Arabidopsis thaliana: one gene and its partner. The protein of the gene in region 1 purifies or fractionates together with the protein of each later gene. This does not show direct contact. Each region holds a gene or a part of one and is shown on either strand. Other genes may lie near its edges. The genes, in order: ACS and AT-HF.

Region 1 (10,811 bases):
CCTTTGTTTTTTGGAGACTATCCTGCAAGTATGCGCCAGAAACTTGGAGACAATCTTCCTAGATTTACTCCGGAAGAAAAGGAGTTTATGCTTCAAAACTCATGGGACTTCCTTGGCCTGAACCACTATACGTCGAGGTTGATTTCTCATGTCTCAAACAAAGAAGCTGAGAGTAACTTTTACCAAGCACAAGAATTGGAGAGGATTGGTAACAAATGCTGAAATTTCTTATGCTAATAGTATCTTCTTACTTGTTTCCTAGTATTCATCCTCTATTCTTTCCGTGCACAGTTGAACTGGAAAATGGAGATTTGATAGGCGAAAGGGTAAGATTCTCTTCTTAGTCTCAGCTAATCTAATGATTTTATTGACATTTCTGCACATCTGCTTAAGGCAAGGATGTGTAAGCTAGTAATAAACTAAATAATCTGTGCCAATTACAGGCTGCTTCGGATTGGCTTTATGCTGTGCCTTGGGGAATCCGAAAGACATTGAATTACATGAGCAAAAAATATAACCACCCTCCAATATTTATCACTGAAAATGGTATTTACTATCCTTGTAACTCTATGGTACAGCTTAATATAGTACAATGCATAGCGTGTTAAGAATAGCAGTAGTTTTGTTATCCAAAAAAAAGTTGGAAACAATGAATTATTTTGGTCAAATTGAACTTCTATTATATATATCCTGAGGTTAAGGTTTCTTGGTCCAACACGACAGGTATGGATGATGAAGATGATGGATCGGCCTCTATTCATGATATGCTTGACGATAAACGTAGAGTTGACTATTTCAAGAGTTACCTTGCCAACGTCTCCCAGGCTATTGAGTAAGTCAACATTTTTCCCTTCATTCAGTTGTTTACAAGCGACAAAAACTTAGGAAACAGAGAATTTTTATCAAGTAAATTAGTGAGAGTGTTATGTTAATGGCGAAAATTGAAACAGAGACGGAGTGGACATAAAGGGATACTTTGCGTGGTCGCTGCTGGACAACTTCGAGTGGGCGCAAGGGTACACCAAGAGATTTGGTTTGGTATATGTAGACTACAAGAACGGTTTAACCCGTCACCCAAAATCATCTGCTTACTGGTTCATGAAATTTCTGAAAGGTGATGAAGAAAACAAAGGTAAGAAGGAATGAAAAAAGGATCAAAGAAAACTAAAGCTACTACAGCATTTTACATGAAATGTGTTGTGATGTTATAATTTTTGTACCAAATAGATCAATTAGTTCAATAACAAACCAAATCACTTGGGGTGCTCTTTGGTTTTAAACTCATATTTTGACTAAGTGTTTCGTATTACATCGATTTTCTTCTTCTTACCTATCGAAAGAGTTACTTAAGAGTTCAATAGTGAATATTGAAAGAGTTACTTTAGAGTGTCTTAAACGATGTATTAGAGTTAGACTGGTTTAACAATGTTTGATAGTGAATATCGAATTTAGCCAAGAAGAAGGAATCGAAGTCCATGTGTGGAGGTTCTTGGATAGTTAGAGATCACACATGTTCGACTTTGTATCACGCTAGAGATGTTCGACTCTCCAGTTCTAAAATCGAATTGTAGCCAATTTCTCTGGTCGTCACAAAGCCTTAGTGACTTGTGTGTGATTCGATTGATCATATAATTCAACGGCCTCGTTATTGGACGTAGTTGGAAAAGATTCAACCAAACTTTTTTTGTTTTCTCTATTTTGATTGTTCAATTGTTATCATCTCGGTTATACATGTGAACATTAATTACTTACAACTCTTTTGTCTACTTGGATAACAGAATAAGCATGACGATAAGACTGATGAAGCCATTGTTCAACCAGATTCTGTCACATTCTAGGAACCTATGTTGACTGGAGGATCAAGCTTGAATGTTATTTTGTTTTGCATCTAATATGACGACACAACACGCTTTTAAGTTTCAAATTCTCAATAATACTCAAATAAGAAGTTCATATAATTACATTACTTGATTCCCATTATCTTAACTGTTTCCTTTAATTTGAAACTGATCTGTATGCTGCTATGCTTACAGTGACATCAAAAACATTGTTAAAGGTTCTCCTTAACAAGAAAAGCATATAATAGAAAAAGTTAAACAATGAAGTTATATCCTAACTCATCAACAAAATATGCATTCCTTATGTTTCTCAACAGATCACTTTAAACTAAAGGAACAAAGCTAAGCTATATGATTATGGTTCTGGGCATATGAAGAATTCATAGACATAGTTATTATACCGTAACTTATTTTCAATAATTTCATTGCTCTTTCTCAAATAATTTAGTACTCAAATATTTGAACCTAATTGTTTTCTTACTTATCTTGCATCTGCAAAGACGAGTTTTAAGAGTGAGATTATTACTCTTTGAGTCTCGTCTTATTGATCATTTCCTACTATCTTAGTATTTATTTTTGGTTTTAGTTGGATTTCAAAATTATAATCACTTCGTTGTTATGTTAGATTTCATCTTTTGTTAATTAAACATGGTATGATTATTTTATTTTAACATTATATAACTATATAATATCTATAGATACGTTAAAAAAAATCAATTGACTAGCGGTCGAACTTGATAACCTGGAAGGTAGACTAATTTTGAATTTTCAATATTTTTCGTAAATGAGTTGTTTGAATCCAAATATACTATACAATACTCCATAATTAGTAGATAAATTATCCTACACGATTTCAGAAACAATAACTTATATGTTTCTTAATTCTTAGAAACAAGTAATTGACATCTACGCACATGAAATGTCTAATTTTAGATACTTGATAAGATTCATAAGTGGTCCACAAATCAAAAACACGTTACGTTTTTACAAAATCTGCATCGTACTTAAATAGTCCGAGACAAGAACCGTACCACACTCTACCAAGTCACGTTCATGCCAAATACTATGGAAGGGTATATAAGTAGGTGAGCACAAGGCAGGCAAATTTAATAATGAACAAAAAACGAGGAATAATAAAAAAAGGTAATTAAGGCAAAAAAAAAAAAAAAACGAAAATGAAAATAGGATCTCCTTCTTCCCCGATTCTCAGCGTTGTCTCCAGCTCAGGCTCATTGGTGAGTTGACTTATTCTTACGAACACGAACATGTTCTCTATTTAAGAATTTTCAAGTTTTGTTTTTTTTGTCTCGTTACAGTCTTCAAATACGACCCAGTGAGTCGTTTTCGTTTTTTTATTTATTACAAAAATTGGACATTGAAATCGAATCTTATGATCATTGGAATAGGAAAGATATGATCTTTGATTTGGGTTTCGTAAAGTTTCAGTCTTTTTATCTTTTGATGTTCTGATTTTGTTCTTTTTTTGTTCAGGATCCGAAAATTAGTGGATCACTTGGATCTCGAATCCTTCCGGCTACTCAAAGGTGAGGTTTTTTTTTTCTTTCTGAAATTTGATTCGAAATTTAGAATCATGAGTGTAAGAAAATGTTTGAAATTTTCTGTTATAGTGATGATGATATGATAATGATATGATGATGACTGATGAGGGTAAAAGGATAATGATGAATATGCTGTTGATGATGTGATGTGATGTTGATATGTTGTTGATGATTCAGGGTTTAAGGATGAGGTTCTATGTCTTGATTGTTGTTTATTGATATTACCCGTTGGCCGTTGCTTTGAACTTTAGACCGCATTTGTGACCCCTTGAACTTTGAACATGGTGATTACTGGCTTTAAGAAAAAGACAGTGTTGGAGAATTGTTTTGAATATTAAAGATTTGGACTTTATTGATATTTATGTTTTTCAGACTTTTTCGATTTGTTAGGTTATTTATTTGACTGGATTCGTGATGGAGCTGTCCCAATTCTTTAGAGTAACCTGTTTCAGGCTTGTTTGTGTCTTCCTTGATTAGTGTTGGTAACTTTGTTTGAAGTTAAAAGGTTTAGTCTTTGAGACTTCACATTTCACAATAAGTTTTAGTTCATCTTTCGCTTTTCCCCCATAGGTGACTCATAAGTATTTCTTTTCTATTTGAGTTCTTACAGATTTTGGATTACTTTTTGGTTTATCATTGGATTTATTTGGTGTTTAGTCAACAGAGGAAATTCATTTAACAGTCTAATAGTCTTACCGAATTTACCAAAGTATTTTTAACATAAGTTAAAACATTTGTGATTTTGCTTGTTTGTTATGACTTCTTATAAGTTCTAATTGTATGTATATTAGATCATCCCCATCGGAGAATCTTCTCCTCCATAGGAAAATGTCGTCTAATTCCCTGAGGCATGTCGAGTCCATGTCCCAGCTACCCTCAGGTGCCGGAAAGATCTCTCAATTAAACGCCGTCGTGTTAGGAGAATCCCTTGCATCGGAGGAGAATGATCTCGTCTTTCCCAGCAAGGAATTCTCCGGCCAGGCTCTTGTTTCCTCCCCTCAACAGGTCTCTCTTTATACCTTGTAACATCAAATGAGTCCTAGATCAGCAGACCTCATCTTCTCTGCTTGCTTTTATGATCTGTAAATCATCTCTCGTCTTGTTATTTGTATGCAGTACATGGAAATGCATAAGAGGTCGATGGATGACCCTGCTGCTTTTTGGTCTGATATTGCGTCTGAGTTTTACTGGAAGCAGAAATGGGGTGACCAAGTGTTTTCCGAGAATCTCGATGTCAGGAAGGGTCCTATTAGCATCGAGGTGGATATTTTTCTTCTTCTTTTTCTTTGTTCTAATTCCTGTATCTCCTATTAGAAAATGTTTCGTCGTGATGACATGTCTGGGATCATGTATGACCAGTGGTTTAAAGGGGGAATCACCAATATTTGCTACAACTGTTTGGACAAAAACGTTGAAGCTGGTTTGGGTGATAAAACAGCCATACACTGGGAAGGAAATGAACTTGGGGTAGATGCTTCCTTAACTTATTCTGAGTTGCTCCAACGAGTTTGCCAGGTATAAACACTGTTTTTCGTCCTCTCCAACCACCTCTAGAGCTCTTCTTTCTCATTATTTTTCTGGCACTGCATTTTCCTTGTCCTTGTGCTGCAGCTTGCTAATTACTTGAAAGATAATGGAGTGAAGAAGGGTGATGCTGTTGTAATTTATTTACCTATGTTGATGGAACTTCCCATCGCTATGCTTGCATGTGCAAGGATCGGAGCTGTTCATTCGGTAACTTGTGATTTTCGTACATTTTTCTACAATACAACATATACCTAATTCATTAACACAAAACCAGTTTCGAAACTAATTCAATTCTCCCACAGGTCGTTTTTGCTGGATTTTCTGCGGACTCTCTTGCCCAAAGAATCGTTGATTGCAAGCCAAATGTAATACTGACTTGCAATGCTGTTAAAAGAGGCCCTAAGACCATAAACCTTAAAGCTATTGTTGATGCTGCACTTGACCAATCTTCTAAAGATGGAGTCTCTGTAGGTTTGTTCATTCACCAGAATCTGAATTTGAGTGGTTGTTGGTTTGATGGATATATAACTGATGATTTTCTGTGTTTTACTTCTCTACAACCAGGCATATGCTTGACCTATGACAACTCATTAGCGACAACAAGGGAAAACACTAAATGGCAGAATGGAAGAGATGTGTGGTGGCAGGTAACTGCAGAGCAACTTAATAATTGTCAAAATTCCTTCATTGTTTTTTTTTTTCGAATGGTTCTAAAAGTCTTCTGTGGGTGGTGGTGATCACTTTAGGATGTTATTTCTCAATATCCAACATCGTGTGAGGTGGAATGGGTTGATGCAGAAGATCCCCTGTTTTTGCTCTACACCAGTGGAAGTACTGGGAAGCCAAAGGTAACTTTGGTCCTTGGTTAGATTAAATCTTTAGCGTAGATTTTTGATATGTTTCTCTATTAAATATTGGTTTTTGAAGGGTGTCCTACACACAACTGGAGGGTATATGATCTACACTGCTACAACGTTCAAATATGCATTTGACTACAAATCAACAGATGTATACTGGTATGCAAAGACACTTGTCTTGACTGTTAAACTTCCTTACCAAAAGCTATGCTATATAGTGCTAATCTCTTTGCTTTTCTAACATAAGGTGTACAGCAGATTGTGGTTGGATAACTGGCCATAGCTATGTTACTTATGGACCAATGCTTAATGGAGCCACTGTTGTTGTCTTTGAGGGGGTAATCTATTTGAATATATGGTTTTCTATCAGTTAATGTCTTAAATCAATAATTAAGCTCTAGGTCCCTCTCCCATAGTAATACATTAAAGAGCTAGCAGCATTTAAGCGCAAATTGGTTTTACTGTTCATATCTTTCATATGGATTTTGATATTATAATCTGATTTTGAACAGGCTCCAAACTACCCTGACCCTGGACGCTGTTGGGATATTGTTGACAAATACAAGGTTTCAATATTTTATACTGCCCCAACATTGGTGAGGTCTCTCATGCGCGATGACGATAAGGTAAGATATATGCAATCTTTCTGTTGCGGTGAAAAGTAATCAGTATTGTAATGATTTGTAAGCTACGGCTGTATTTATTTGCCCTCTAATTTTTGTATAGTAAATTAAGCCTTGTGTGTGGGATAATACTTTTAGGTCTCTACATCATTTACTAATTATTTCCGTTTCAACTCATTTTAATTGTTATAGTTTGTAACACGTCACTCGCGCAAATCGCTGCGGGTCCTTGGAAGTGTTGGTGAGCCCATCAATCCTAGTGCCTGGAGGTTTGAACTCTAATATCTCTAGATTTATTCCTGCGGTCAGTTGAATGGGAACTATATTTAATGGTTAACCGAATCTTTGATGTAGATGGTTCTTCAATGTAGTCGGTGATTCAAGGTGTCCCATTTCAGATACGTGGTGGCAAACTGAAACTGGTGGCTTCATGGTAACCCTCTACTCCCTCTTTATCTCTCTTAAAACCTCTTGCATGCTCTCTTTCTCTCATGTGCATCAAATTGCATCGCAGATAACCCCATTGCCAGGTGCTTGGCCCCAGAAACCTGGTTCAGCCACTTTCCCTTTCTTTGGTGTTCAGGTATGTGATTTGTAGTGCAAATTAATAATTAGCATATTGCTTCTTTCTAGAGATATTCTTCTTTGGAGAGGGCTTCACTCTCATCTCTATCTCTCTGTGTATGCTGCAGCCTGTCATAGTTGATGAAAAGGGCAATGAAATCGAAGGCGAGTGTAGTGGTTATCTTTGTGTCAAAGGTTCATGGCCCGGGGCGTTTCGAACTCTGTTTGGGGATCATGAAAGATACGAAACCACATACTTTAAACCTTTTGCCGGATATTATTTCAGTGGTGATGGTTGCAGCAGGTGGATAATCTATCTTACTTTTCACAAAAACCAATTTCTAGTTAGTGTGCCATCTTTCAACTATCGCTTAGATAGAGGCGTTTTAATATATTGATAATATCCAAAGTCGGGTGAATTTGACTAAGTTTTTAATAAGTTCTATTTTGTATTCCAGAGACAAGGATGGTTACTACTGGCTTACAGGGAGGGTTGATGATGTTATCAACGTCAGGTAGAACACAAAATCTAAAACGATGTCAATAAATTCCTTAAACCTCCAATATTCCTACCACTCAAATCTATACTTATGTCTGGATTTTTCTCTAATGCACAGTGGCCATCGAATCGGAACTGCTGAAGTAGAATCTGCTCTGGTTTTACACCCTCAATGTGCAGAAGCAGCTGTTGTAGGCATAGAACATGAGGTATGTGGACTGACTATGCATAAGTGGTTGGGATATGAAGCACAGTATGACACTGATAAGAGTTCAAGAAATGACTTATGATGTTTAATTAGTTATCGAGGCAGGAAGAGTCTTCTAGCTCTCTATAACAACCTAGGGTTTCTTCATGGTTCTTGGGTTTGATTTTGTTCTTGATTCCGCGTTCTTCATTTACCAGTCAAATAAAAGCTGAAATCAGTTTGCTTCTTATCACACACCAAAGTAACTAACGGTCAAGGCTCTTGCTTGTATCAGGTAAAAGGTCAGGGAATTTATGCGTTTGTCACTCTTCTGGAAGGTGTTCCTTACAGCGAGGAGCTTCGTAAAAGCCTAGTACTAATGGTCCGAAATCAGGTATGATATATATTAAGGAAAAAGTGAATGCTTAAGCTTTAGAGATGCTAAACTTTTGAGGAACTGTTCTTTGCACACTTCTGATGAGTATCGGTATGAATTTTGCCATTTCCAGATTGGGGCTTTTGCAGCACCGGACAGAATACATTGGGCACCAGGGTTGCCAAAGACGAGAAGCGGAAAGATAATGAGGAGAATCTTGAGAAAGATTGCTTCGAGGCAATTAGAAGAACTCGGAGATACTAGCACACTCGCGGATCCTAGTGTAGTTGATCAGCTTATTGCACTTGCCGATGTGTGATGACTAACCATAGCATATGAGCCAATGGAGAGTAATGGAGTTTTGTGCATCTATATATGTTTTCAGGTGTCTTATAGAGGGAATGGTACAAAAATCTGAAACAAGATTCAGGTGTTTTGGAGGGAATAAAGTAAGCAGACTATATTGTTGTGTTTTTGAATAAAGAAATTTCAGTCTCATGAATTTGGTTTTGGATAAGATGGTCATAGGATTATCAAATTAATTAAAAGTTACAAAAATATAAACATATTGGCGTTTGTTTTAGCTAGTTGTCTTCCTGCCGTGACGCAAGTTTCAAAGATTTTTTTTTTCAGTGTACCAGCTTTTTCTCCTATTAATTTATGTTTTAATAAAAATAAAAAATAGTTTCTATTAAGTGATGTTAATCATTTTTTTAACAGTTCTTACTATAAGAAATATTTTTTGAGATTATTTTTTATCTTGTAGATTGATTTATTATTGGTTAAGTGGAATTTAGAAAATAATAATTTATATTTTAATTTAGAAAAATTTAAATATCAAGTGATTGATTGATATATGGGTCAAATTTTAAATATTTTTAGTTTGTAACAGAGGAAGTATATTTTTTGCGTTTCAAAAATTGCTTTTTATATATAATAACAAGCCTTTTACCCAAAATTTAAACTCTAGCGGAATAATAATACAAGTCACTAAATCATGTTTTTCTAAAGAACTTATCTTTAGAAAACTCACCCACCATTTGACACTGTGATTATGCAGCACCCCCTAAACATAATCTTCCTCAATAAATTACCACAATCATTAACGAAGCTATGAGACCAGATTTTAACCTTTCCTTGACTTTTGAAGAATTGATGGGATTATATATTTATATAAAATTTTCAAAAACAAATTACATTGGTCCCAACTCATATCCAAAAAATTATTAACTTATATAGGTTATTAATTTATCAAGTATTAATTTATAGAGGTTTTAGTATATCACATTTGCCTTCCCTTACAAAGCATGCACACATATACCAAATACAATTGCCTGCAAATAGGGTTCTCAGTCTTTATTCTTGGAGGAGCGGTGTTTTCTCTGACCACTGAGAATACGTGAGATATGTAGACCTCTGCTAAAGGCTTGGTTAAAGAGCATTCTCGTTTGGAACTCCGATATGAATGGGAACCAGGCCATAAACGCTATTGGAATAAACAAGAGAGAACCCATCACGAGGTCGTAGACCCAAGCCAACGTCATCACCCAAGACCATATCCCTGGTTGTTGAATCAGAGGCTTACAAGATTGTGCAATCTGGAAGGAGAACAGTAAAATAATTTAATATGAACACAATCCTAAACATCCTCAAGGATTTGGAAAACCCTAGAAGCAGAATACATAAAAATATCTCAGACACTCAATAAAGACATGTTTTAAAACATTTGGCGAAGTTTGATAGAGCAGGAAGACTTACAAGTAGTAATCCCCATCCAGTTGGGATTAATGCAAGCATGCAGAGGAAGACGTCTTGGGGTAGTATAAGACGACAAGTCATGAGAGTAATGAATATTGCCATAAATGCGAGAAACAAGGAAACCTTGATGATCCTGAATAAAAGTTGGAACTCTGTTCCCAGCCGTCGCCTTGCATAATCCAAAACCTGTGATAGTTGCATTGAAAACAAAATCCATCGCTTAGCACCCATGGATCACTTAACATATTTATATCTAGCATTCAAGGAGACTCGGACAATTTAATCAGTCTAGTATCTCATATAGAAAAAAACTCGACATGAACTGTTCTACATACCGTCACAGTGAGTAAAAGGATTAAGATCAGTAACCATGAAGCCCCAAAAACCTGGAAAAAAAAAGTATTTAGCAAAACTAAGAGACTCAAGTAATGAATTCAAAAAGGAAGCGACATAAGTAGCTTACCCATAAACTACTATATTTATTTTTAAAGGCGCTGAGTTGATACACAAGTCCGTACTGAAATATGAAGAAGCGTAATGCAAAAAAAATCTCAACAACGATACCCCATTTTCCCGAGTGTTGAAGATGTTCAATATCCTTCTCCCACCATGATTCCCAGCTCTTCTCTGGAGGAACACCTATCCCCCCATTATCATATTCAATCCATTTTTTCCAATCTGCCCAGTCTTCGACAATTTCATGCCACTCAAAACCAGATGGGTTGAATAAGAAAGGAGCAAAGAGCCATGTACCCACCATGAACCATATCGAAATAGTGAACAACCCTATATAGGTTGGGCCAAATATGTGATACACGAGTAGGAGAATCCCTAGCTCAGTAGCCTTCACAAAATGACTACGAGAGTAAAACCTGTAGTTTTCAGCAAATTTGGCATGGAACACCACAAATCCACGGCCAGTACCTCTGTATTCTGCGCCTCCATGCAACAATGTCTTGCAGTAGTAATGAAATTTTGTCCCAAGTTGAAATGTGAAAAATACGGAAGCAAGTTGTAGCTGCA
Region 2 (9,799 bases), on another chromosome or scaffold:
GGAGTTAAACGACGTCGTTGCTGCAATGTATAAGATTGGATTTTCAGGCGAGTCGCCGGCGATTCCCGCGTGGATATCGGATAAAGCTAAAGACTTTCTGAAGAATTGTTTAAAGGAAGATCAAAAACAGAGATGGACTGTGGAAGAATTACTTAAACATCCATTTCTTGATGACGACGAAGAATCTCAGACAAGTGATTGTTTGAAGAACAAGACTTCTTCTCCAAGCACTGTGTTGGATCAACGATTTTGGGATTCATGCGAAAGCTCCAAAAGTCACTTAGTTTCGATTGATCATGAAGACCCTTTTGCTGAATACTCGGAATCTTTGGATTCACCGGCTGATCGGATCGAGAAACTCGCCGGAGATGAGTTTTCAAGCTTACTTGATTGGGATACGGAAGACGATGGCGGATGGATTCAAGTGAGAGGCGAGAAACATAAAGAAACCGAGAAACGCGACGGCGACGAAGACGTGATTTGCGTTGAAGCAACGTCATCGTCGCAAACGATTGAAGAAGTTGAAGATTGGATTTCGAATCAAGACAGCTTGTTCTCGGAATATTCCTCTGACGACATCATTAATAATTTCTACTCTAATGTTGCTATTCAAGGAAATTTAATTGCATTTCATTATTGTACTGATGAAGATGAAAATGTATCCATAAAGAATATGTTTCGTACTAATAACAAACATTTGTTTTTCAAATTGCAAGCTCATGTTAAATTCACTAACCAAGTCTGATGAAACAATGTCCATGTGTTCAAACTTCAAAATAAAAGAATCTATGTACATTAGTACATTACCTAAATATTTCCAATGCAACATATGCGTTAGGTTATGTGCTAACGATCACTATTGTATGGACTCTAGAAGACAATTCAAATTGCATATTTCAAAGTTGGAAACACAAGTCTTTGTGTTCTTGTTAGAGGTTACGTCAATCTATAAGATAAGATTGACTATAGACGAAGTCAAAACTGTACTTTGTCCAAGATTTATTTACACACGAAGTCATGTCAATACAATTTTGTGTGTGTTTACCTAAACCGCATAAGACCCCGTTATGTTAACGCAGACGACTCTCTGGGAGTACATAATCATAGTCGTAAATTAATTACTAAGCACCAAAATACATATTTGAACAAGTAAATAAAATGATATCTAATAACTTTAGTCAACTTTCACCGTCTGAAATCTAAAAACACACATACACCGACACTGATAATTTCGTCGGTCTTGAGAGTTGATAGTTCTACTCTATAGACATGATTATTGGAGCAGAACATTCCTACTTTGACACCGATACCTAACAAAACAAATTAGTTTATATCAATACCGTACAATTTATTAGGTACCGTTTGTAGAAATTTGTTGAAACATTAATTATATTTTTCTTCCCGTACTTATCCAAATACAACAATTTAAGAATACCACTTAATAGAATGATATCCTTTGGTCGACAATAGCTCTAAATCACTTTCACTTAGTATAAATGTATTATGTATAGTACAATTTTTTTTGATTATTTTATATTTAAGTATTTGTCTTCTTTTAAATCATTAAAACATTGATATGAACTGTTGTAAGCTAATACTATTACAAAATAAAATAAAACCATTGTTTCTTACCATCATTCTCATTGCCACTATCTTTAATATTTCATAAAAGCATAACATATAATAAAGTTTACCTACAAAATGAAAACTGATCACAGGTAGAAATAAGTTCGTTGTGACTTAAAAGTTGATGCTGATGATTGATGAGTCAGTGATGACGTCCTGGTGACATTCATCAAACGCATAACATACCAAAGTTACTTGTCATCTCTTTTTGTCTATCTTTTAGTTTTAGTATGGGTTTGTGAATTGGTGATAGTAGTAAGTGGTGAATGCCCAAATTTGACCACTTCATCGCATAATAAACTTATATAAAACAATCTGATAAAAATATTCACAATTACTGCAATCAAATTCTATGATGAAAATGGTTATTAAGTTTACCTGCAGAAACACATGCTATGATGTTCTCCAATTCAAAATAAATCAATTCAACCGATCCAAAAACCTACATAAATGTTTTGAATTTATGTATGATGTAAATGTAATAGTGTCTTGTTAAAACTAGAGCATGTTACTAAATCATTATATAGAAATGAGTCAGATAGAAGAAGTATTAAAAAGAGTTGACTTGAGAAAAAGGATGGGAACTTGGGAAGAGTTATTGTTGGCAAACACACTCAATAATAGCAAATATCATATAAACCTTTTATTTTTGTCCTTTTCTGTTTTGCTCATCTTTCATGCCTTGCATTAGATGGCTGGAGTTGGTGTATTACATATAAACCGTAAGCCCTTATATCCATTCTCCAATATTTAATTTCATCTCAAATTCAAACTGGTACTGAAAATTTATTATTTCTGTTGTTATTTCTCTAAGAGACTTATCTATATATATATCTCCTATGCATGATATACTATATAGAACTTTCAATATTTTTTTTTTTTTGATCAAAGATTATTTTCTTTTCTTTAACTTGTGTTTTATTAATCACTTTCTATCCGTTGTAAATCATATATATTAAGAGCATGAGTCTAAAATACTCACTTTTGGTGACTAGTAACTTTGCTGTACCTTCATTTTTTTTAAAAAGAGCTACAAGACTCTGTAAGAGTGAAACGAAGCCCAATCCCATTATCTGTTATGAAAAGTTCATAAAAGCCCAATTAATATACAAATTCACTACACGAGGAGAAACGACGTCGTTAGTGGAGTGGTAAGTGTTGACAAAGTGACGAGTGACGACGACCTTTTGAATTAACAATCGAAGCAGTGACTGAGTTTGATATCAATGGAGGCTACGGCGGCGCCATTCTCTTCAATTGTCTCTTCCAGACAAAACTTCTCTTCATCTTCTTCGATTCGCGCTTCTTCTCCGGCTTCTTTATTCCTCTCCCAGAAGAGTATTGGCAATGTTAATCGCAAATTCAAATCTCCCAGAAGCCTCTCCGTCCGCGCATCTTCTACCTCAGATTCTGGTACTTTCTATTGTTTTTCTGTTGCCCTGTTGTACTATATTTGATTAGTCTTATTTATTGCTGAATCTTTCTTCTGTCTCTTTGGTGAGTAGTTGTGACTTTGCTTGACTACGGAGCTGGAAATGTTCGGAGCATCCGCAATGCTCTTCGTCATCTCGGCTTCAGCATCAAAGACGTATGTTTTCGAATCTAAGTTTATTCCTTGTATATGTACTGATCTCTTATTGGCAAAATGAAATTGATTACATTTGGGAACTTGAAATGTTAGGTTCAAACGCCGGGAGACATTCTGAATGCTGATCGACTCATATTTCCAGGCGTTGGTGCTTTTGCACCCGCCATGGATGTACTTAACAGAACTGGGTACTTACTAATCACCTCTGCTGATTTTCTCATTTAGAATAATGTCTTACTTAGTTCTTAATATACGATTTTTGGTTCTTTGATTGTTGCAGGATGGCTGAAGCTTTGTGCAAATATATTGAGAATGACCGTCCATTTCTAGGCATATGTCTTGGTCTACAACTACTTTTCGATTCTAGTGAAGAGAATGGACCAGGTTTAGCTCCGTTGCTCCACTTTATATTATGTCTTCTAGAATTTTTCCCTCGATACATTCAACTACATTATGATATCATGTATTTTTGTACTTAACAACTGTATATGTGACAGTCAAAGGTCTTGGTGTGATACCGGGAATAGTTGGACGCTTTGATGCTTCAGCTGGTATAAGAGTACCCCACATTGGCTGGAATGCTTTGCAAGTTGGGAAGGATTCTGAAATTTTGGATGATGTTGGAAACCGTCATGTCTATTTTGTTCATTCGTACAGGGCCATTCCAGTATGGATCTAAATAATCTCTTCTTTCTTTCTGTCATTTTCGTATCTCTACCATATTGTATTCTCTTCTACATGCATGTGATAATTATAGTTTCATAATTTCTATAGTCAGATGAAAATAAGGACTGGATTTCGTCTACCTGTAATTATGGTGAATCATTTATATCTTCCATAAGAAGGGGAAATGTGCATGCAGTTCAATTCCATCCTGAAAAGAGCGGGGGTATGATAGTCTAGTCATTTTCTGGTGACATCTTTTTTCTCTTATTCAGAGTCTGTTTTCATATTTGGTATCGTACTAATTCTGAATATGGAACATTCAGAGGTGGGGCTTTCTGTTTTAAGAAGGTTCTTGCATCCAAAATTACCTGCAACACAGGTAGATTTCACTCTAGCCATACATGTACAATGTAATTCCTGATTTTTTTGGTGTCTAATGGAAACCACAATTCACTTGAAGACAGAAGCCAATGGAAGGAAAGGCCTCAAAACTTGCAAAGAGGGTAAGAAGTTTGTCCTGTTATTATTGAAAGTCTGCCTCCTTTGCAACATTGCTATCTTTGCTCTTAACTATTCTGGTAGGCAGTTTTTCTAATGATATTTTGTTTTCCTTTAGGTGATTGCTTGTCTTGATGTGAGGACGAATGATAAAGGAGATCTCGTAGTTACTAAAGGGGATCAGTATGATGTGAGAGAGCAATCTAATGAAAACGAGGTTTGTTGAAAATTGTTGCTTCAATGTCATATCCTGCGATGTGTTCTTTGTGAAAAATGAAACATTCTTGATATTTGGATGTTTTTGTGATACGTCCTTATCTTACCTTTAAGCTGTTGGGTTTAGCTAATTATTAACGTCTGTAACAATGCTCTGAATTCATTCCTTTTTCTTGCACAGGTTCGAAACCTTGGCAAACCTGTTGATTTGGCTGGGCAGTATTACAAAGATGGTGCAGATGAGGTATACTTTTACTGTATATGATCTCCTTGCAATATTATGTGAATGGCTCCAAGACACCTTTTTTAGATTTGGTTTGGCGCTTTACCGTGCTGTTTGTGGGTTTTCAGATTAGCTTTTTAAACATAACTGGATTCCGCGATTTTCCTCTAGGGGATTTGCCGATGATTCAGGTACCTAGATTTTTCATTCTCAGTAGAATATAAGTATTACTTCCACACCTTCCCTGTAATTTCCGATTTAGATCTCTTTTCATACTTTATAGGTGTTGAGGCAGACATCAAAGAATGTCTTTGTACCACTAACTGTTGGAGGTGGTATTAGAGACTTTACAGATGCTAGTGGCAGGTACATGTTAATCTTTTCAGCCTGTTTCTGTGAACATGTCTGTGCAGGCATTATGTTCTTTTATATTTCAGCAAGGACTTTGCAATTTTTATTCCCTACAACAATTTAACATCAAGTTAATTTGGCTCAGGTACTATTCTAGCTTGGAAGTTGCTGCTGAGTATTTCAGATCCGGTGCTGATAAGATCTCCATAGGAAGTGACGCTGTTTCTGCTGCAGAGGAGTTCATAAAATCAGGGGTAAGTTTGTAGTTGCCCGTCTAATTTATCCGAGTTGTTTTTCATGCTAGTATCTAAAAACGGAAGGATCATTTTATCCCCATTTTCCGCGTTTTTGTAGGTGAAGACAGGAAAGAGTAGTTTAGAACAGATATCCAGAGTTTATGGAAATCAGGTAATTGCTTACAGATCAGAACAATTGGCTTTCTTTTTTCTTGCTTGCAGAAAATAAAGGGATACTAGTTGCTTTACATTAGGATATTAATATCTTAGTTTTACAGATGGAGTAAACAGTGAATTGACTGTGTTTAGATAGCTGTTTCTCATGTTCTCTAGTTTATGTAAGAAATAGGAAACAGCTTTGCACTTATTTGATAGATTTTTTCGCTCCACAGGCAGTGGTTGTAAGTATTGATCCTCGTAGAGTTTATGTGAACCATCCGGATGATGTGCCATACAAAGTCATCAGAGTAACTAATCCAGGTATGCTGGTATTCTCACCTCTCTTATATTTGCTTTCTCATTTGTTCAAAGGAAAATTATGTAGGCTGGCTATATATCATGCATTAAATGGATTAATTTGAGCTTTCTAATACATTAAAATTACAAGGCAAATGTTATTAACTTATTATTGCTATGTTAACTCAGAACTCTATTTTCCTAACGGACATTATATAATTCATCTTGCGTCAATCTTAGTTTAGCTTTCGTTGAAAAGCCTTGAGCTGCTTGAACTACACAAGCAGCACAGTCACATTGTATAGAGTTTCTCCATAAATTTGCATACATGTAATAACCGGGATGAAATCTTGCTGGTGTTAGGCCCAAATGGAGAAGAATATGCCTGGTATCAGTGCACGGTAAAATTTCGGCCACCCTTTTCATTTTAAGATCGATTTGTATCATTTCTTAACTATTGGTTTCTCAACTAAAAGGTCAGTGGAGGACGAGAAGGTCGACCTATTGGAGCATTTGAGCTTGCGAAAGCGGTTGAAGAATTAGGTGCCGGTGAAATACTATTGAACTGCATAGACTGTGATGGTACACTCAAAACTTCAATCTTTGAATTAGTTTCATGTCTGAAAATTTGGACCACCTTTACACACGATGAGAACTAAATATGATCCACGAAAAACAAAAAAGCACACAACCACCTTTTAAACTACACTGCTGCTGGAGTTAAAGATCAATGTATTATAAGTTTTTATCTCCTTATGATGCCTTCCTTCTCTGCGAGTTTCAGGTCAAGGGAAAGGATTCGACATAGACTTAGTAAAGCTCATCTCAGATTCAGTAGGCATACCGGTGATCGCAAGCAGTGGAGCAGGTACTCCCGACCACTTTTCCGAGGTGTTTGAGAAGACAAACGCATCTGCCGCGCTTGCTGCCGGCATTTTCCACCGGAAAGAGGTAACCGTTTTTACTCTTGTTAAAACCTTTTGCGTTTATACCTGGTAACACTATTATTCTACTATTTTGTATAAAGGTACCAATCCAATCTGTGAAAGAGCACTTACAAGAGGAGCGCATAGAAGTCAGGATCTGAGAATTTTCTGGTCTGCGTGTTACCATAATTCATGACACATTCAACAAGATAGAATCTTTACCTTCAATAAATTAAATTAAGTCGGAACCATCGGAGCTCCAATAGGTCTGAGTGAATCCTCTTATAGTTGATTTCCTTTTGTTGACAGTAAGACTGATACAATTTATGGATTTCCCTTGAAAGTAAGAAAGCAACGTATGTTCACTTTCTCAGCTTTTCTATTTAATACAAAGAAAGCATGTAACTTCTCTCTCGTCTAGATCTTATTAGGAAATCATTCAATCCGAAAAACCTCAAAAGGGTATCTTATTCAGTCAAAATTGAACATATCTGTATCAAACTGTGTAAAAAGTAAGAACGTAGACACTGAGGCCTATTCTTCCAATCCCGCAATACTCGGGAAACTGTAAAGAAACTTGAAAGATAAGAATTGTTGTTACCCCCAAACGTTTTAAAGACACTGCAGGTCTATAACTGGCAAAAGCCAGACACTTTGTGACTCCTCGAAACCAAATCTTTTATATGTCAAGAAGAAGCCTTTGTGGATCCTCCACAACATCCTTGACACGGCGCAGGAAGTACACAGCCTCTCTACCATCAATCAGCCTGTGATCATACGTAAGTGCGACATACATCATTGGTCTAGGCACTACGCTTCCTCCTACTACCATTGGACGTGACACAATCGAGTGCATGCCGAGTATGGCAGACTGCAAAACCACAGGTTACTGTTAACAAAAAACGTGGTTCTGACTGGGACCCGGTGAGATGGGAAATAAATTTAAACCTGAGGAGGATTAATGATCGGAGTGCTTATGAGACTTCCATAGACACCGCCATTTGAAACGGTGAATGATCCGCCAGCCATCTCATCTATGGATATGGTTCCTTCATTTGCCTTCTTGGCAAGTGAGTTTATCGTCTTCTCTATCTCGGCAAAGTTCATTTTATCAGCACCTCTTATGACTGGTACTACAAGTCCCTGGATAAGAGACCACAAGAAAAAAAATTCAGCCTCACATACATGATCGCAATAAGAATGAAATTTAGCACAAACCAATGATAGCTAAAGAATGTGAACTAACCTTAGAGGTACCAACAGCGATACTGATATCCACATAGTCTCTGTATATGATATCATCCCCGTCAATAACTGCATTTACAACTGGTTGATGCTGAAGGGCGCTAACAGCAGCCTGAGACAGATAACGAAGAATAGGGTATTATTTTTGCTATCATTTAACTCTGGCATTGTATTATTAATATCGAAAAATAAGTAAGTGTATACTTTAATAAATCCAGACATAAGCCCCAACTTCACTCCATGCTTTTCATAAAATGCATCCTTGTATTGGGATCGGAGCTTCATCAAATTTGTCCTACACGCAGAAAAGAGCTCCATAATTAGCAAATAAAATCAAACTGACTAGTATAATTCAGTGCACCAAAAGGACTCGCATAACTGATATAGACATATCAACTTGACGGGTTTAAGCTGTTACTCACATATCAACTTCATTGAAAGTTGTCAGCAACGCGAAAGTATTTTGAGAGTCTTTCAATCTTGTTGCAACTCGTTTCCGAAGTCTTGTCATCGGAACCTGCAGTGTTGTTAGATGTCATATCACTGATTATGTGACTGTAAAGCTTTTTATTAGGTAACAAACTAACTTTATTTAACCTCTGATCAGTCATTTAAAAATTTTCAGACGGAAGCCAGGAAAAATGATAGATTTTGCATACCCGTCTTTCTCTTTCCTTAGGAGGAAGCTGCGGTTCTTTAGCAGACTGTTTGGGTGGAGGTGGTGAGGATGGTGCTTTGGGTTTCTCTGCTACAGGAGCACTTTCCACTCTGGGCTTCTGCTTATCTTCAGCAGGAGGAGAAGGTTTGGTATCAGTTGTCTCTGGTATCTTCTGAGAGGGGGTAACCTGAGATGCAGTATCCTCAGACTTTGATATAATAGCGACCTTGGTTCCTGGTTCTACAGTATCTCCTTCGTTGACTAGAAACTGCATTAGAAGACAAAATCAAACAGGTCTAGTCAGTGAAGACTAACTATAGAGAGACACCAGAAAGAGAACAACAATAACGACTGAATAAACAACACAAAGAGCAAACATATTTACCTCTTGGATTACACCACTTGCTGGGCTAGCAATATCTATTGTCACCTAATCCACAAATATGAATCAAATAATAGATTTTAAAATTTAACACAGATGTCTTTAGAAAAATGACAAAGAAAAAATAAATATTGATACCTTATCAGTTTCAATTTGTGCAATAGCCTCATCAGCCTGGACTCTCTCACCAGGTTCTGAAATGTGCCAGCAAATTAACTTTTAGATATATATTCAGACATCAGAAAGAACCGGAAAAGATAATGCAAAAGAGACATACTCTTCAGAAAGGTGGCCAAGGTGCCATCAGTAATTGATTCCCCCATATGAGGCACAACTGCTTCCACGGTATCTCCTTCAGTAACAATAACAAGAAAGCGTGTGAGAAAACCCTACAAATCCAATCAAAGCTACAGTAGTAGCAGATTGCAAAACCATAATTAAGAGATACACGTTTCATAAGAATCTGCATCCGAATGGAATCAAAACTATGAGCTCCTGGATTTCTTCTAAGCAATCATAGGTTCCCAGATATGGCAAACCTAATACCACAACAAAAAGAGAGAAAGAGCTCAGGTTGAACATACATACCAGTTTCAGCTGAAAAAGGCCTGACCCATCTTTGCAGGGTTGAAGAAACTAAACTCGCCGACCTCGAGATGCCCGAGTTCCCTGCTAGTGGGATACAAACAAAATAAGAGCACAAAAATCTTAAGAAACTAAAACTAACC

Evidence for each region.
Region 2: the proteins of ACS (region 1) and AT-HF fractionate together in Arabidopsis thaliana (co-fractionation; one large-scale study listed by BioGRID). This does not show direct contact.

What each region holds. Positions count from the first base shown.
Region 1 is NC_003076.8:14,532,499-14,543,309, reverse strand, and holds ACS (acetyl-CoA synthetase), read left to right. Parts: upstream 1-2,868; 5' UTR 2,869-3,013; coding exon 3,014-3,073; exon of another isoform or gene 3,074-3,329; coding exon 3,330-3,382; intron 3,383-3,415; exon of another isoform or gene 3,416-3,681; intron 3,682-3,710; exon of another isoform or gene 3,711-3,902; intron 3,903-4,188; coding exon 4,189-4,402; intron 4,403-4,513; coding exon 4,514-4,657; intron 4,658-4,756; coding exon 4,757-4,912; intron 4,913-5,008; coding exon 5,009-5,131; intron 5,132-5,226; coding exon 5,227-5,395; intron 5,396-5,488; coding exon 5,489-5,571; intron 5,572-5,670; coding exon 5,671-5,772; intron 5,773-5,851; coding exon 5,852-5,940; intron 5,941-6,028; coding exon 6,029-6,119; intron 6,120-6,293; coding exon 6,294-6,407; intron 6,408-6,596; coding exon 6,597-6,673; intron 6,674-6,758; coding exon 6,759-6,837; intron 6,838-6,918; coding exon 6,919-6,987; intron 6,988-7,096; coding exon 7,097-7,272; intron 7,273-7,426; coding exon 7,427-7,483; intron 7,484-7,585; and 9 more. Other genes in the region: BGLU42 (beta glucosidase 42), read left to right, coding at 1-208, 292-326, 444-546, 724-832, 951-1,146; GSL09 (glucan synthase-like 9), read right to left, coding at 9,380-9,628, 9,789-9,974, 10,124-10,174, 10,252-10,811. UniProt on the Arabidopsis thaliana protein: Catalyzes the production of acetyl-CoA, an activated form of acetate that can be used for lipid synthesis or for energy generation. May play a limited role in the biosynthesis of lipids.
Region 2 is NC_003075.7:13,512,662-13,522,460, forward strand, and holds AT-HF (HIS HF), read left to right. Parts: upstream 1-2,770; 5' UTR 2,771-2,852; coding exon 2,853-3,039; intron 3,040-3,131; coding exon 3,132-3,214; intron 3,215-3,307; coding exon 3,308-3,402; intron 3,403-3,494; coding exon 3,495-3,598; intron 3,599-3,711; coding exon 3,712-3,881; intron 3,882-3,988; coding exon 3,989-4,103; intron 4,104-4,203; coding exon 4,204-4,259; intron 4,260-4,344; coding exon 4,345-4,383; intron 4,384-4,496; coding exon 4,497-4,595; intron 4,596-4,775; coding exon 4,776-4,838; intron 4,839-4,945; coding exon 4,946-5,008; intron 5,009-5,100; coding exon 5,101-5,183; intron 5,184-5,313; coding exon 5,314-5,422; intron 5,423-5,522; coding exon 5,523-5,576; intron 5,577-5,796; coding exon 5,797-5,884; intron 5,885-6,223; coding exon 6,224-6,261; intron 6,262-6,336; coding exon 6,337-6,442; intron 6,443-6,644; coding exon 6,645-6,811; intron 6,812-6,887; coding exon 6,888-6,947; 3' UTR 6,948-7,206; and 1 more. Other genes in the region: MAPKKK16 (mitogen-activated protein kinase kinase kinase 16), read left to right, coding at 1-745; AT4G26910 (Dihydrolipoamide succinyltransferase), read right to left, coding at 7,466-7,657, 7,735-7,929, 8,033-8,143, 8,236-8,326, 8,454-8,548, 8,691-8,957, 9,075-9,119, 9,210-9,265 and 2 more. UniProt on the Arabidopsis thaliana protein: IGPS catalyzes the conversion of PRFAR and glutamine to IGP, AICAR and glutamate. The glutaminase domain produces the ammonia necessary for the cyclase domain to produce IGP and AICAR from PRFAR.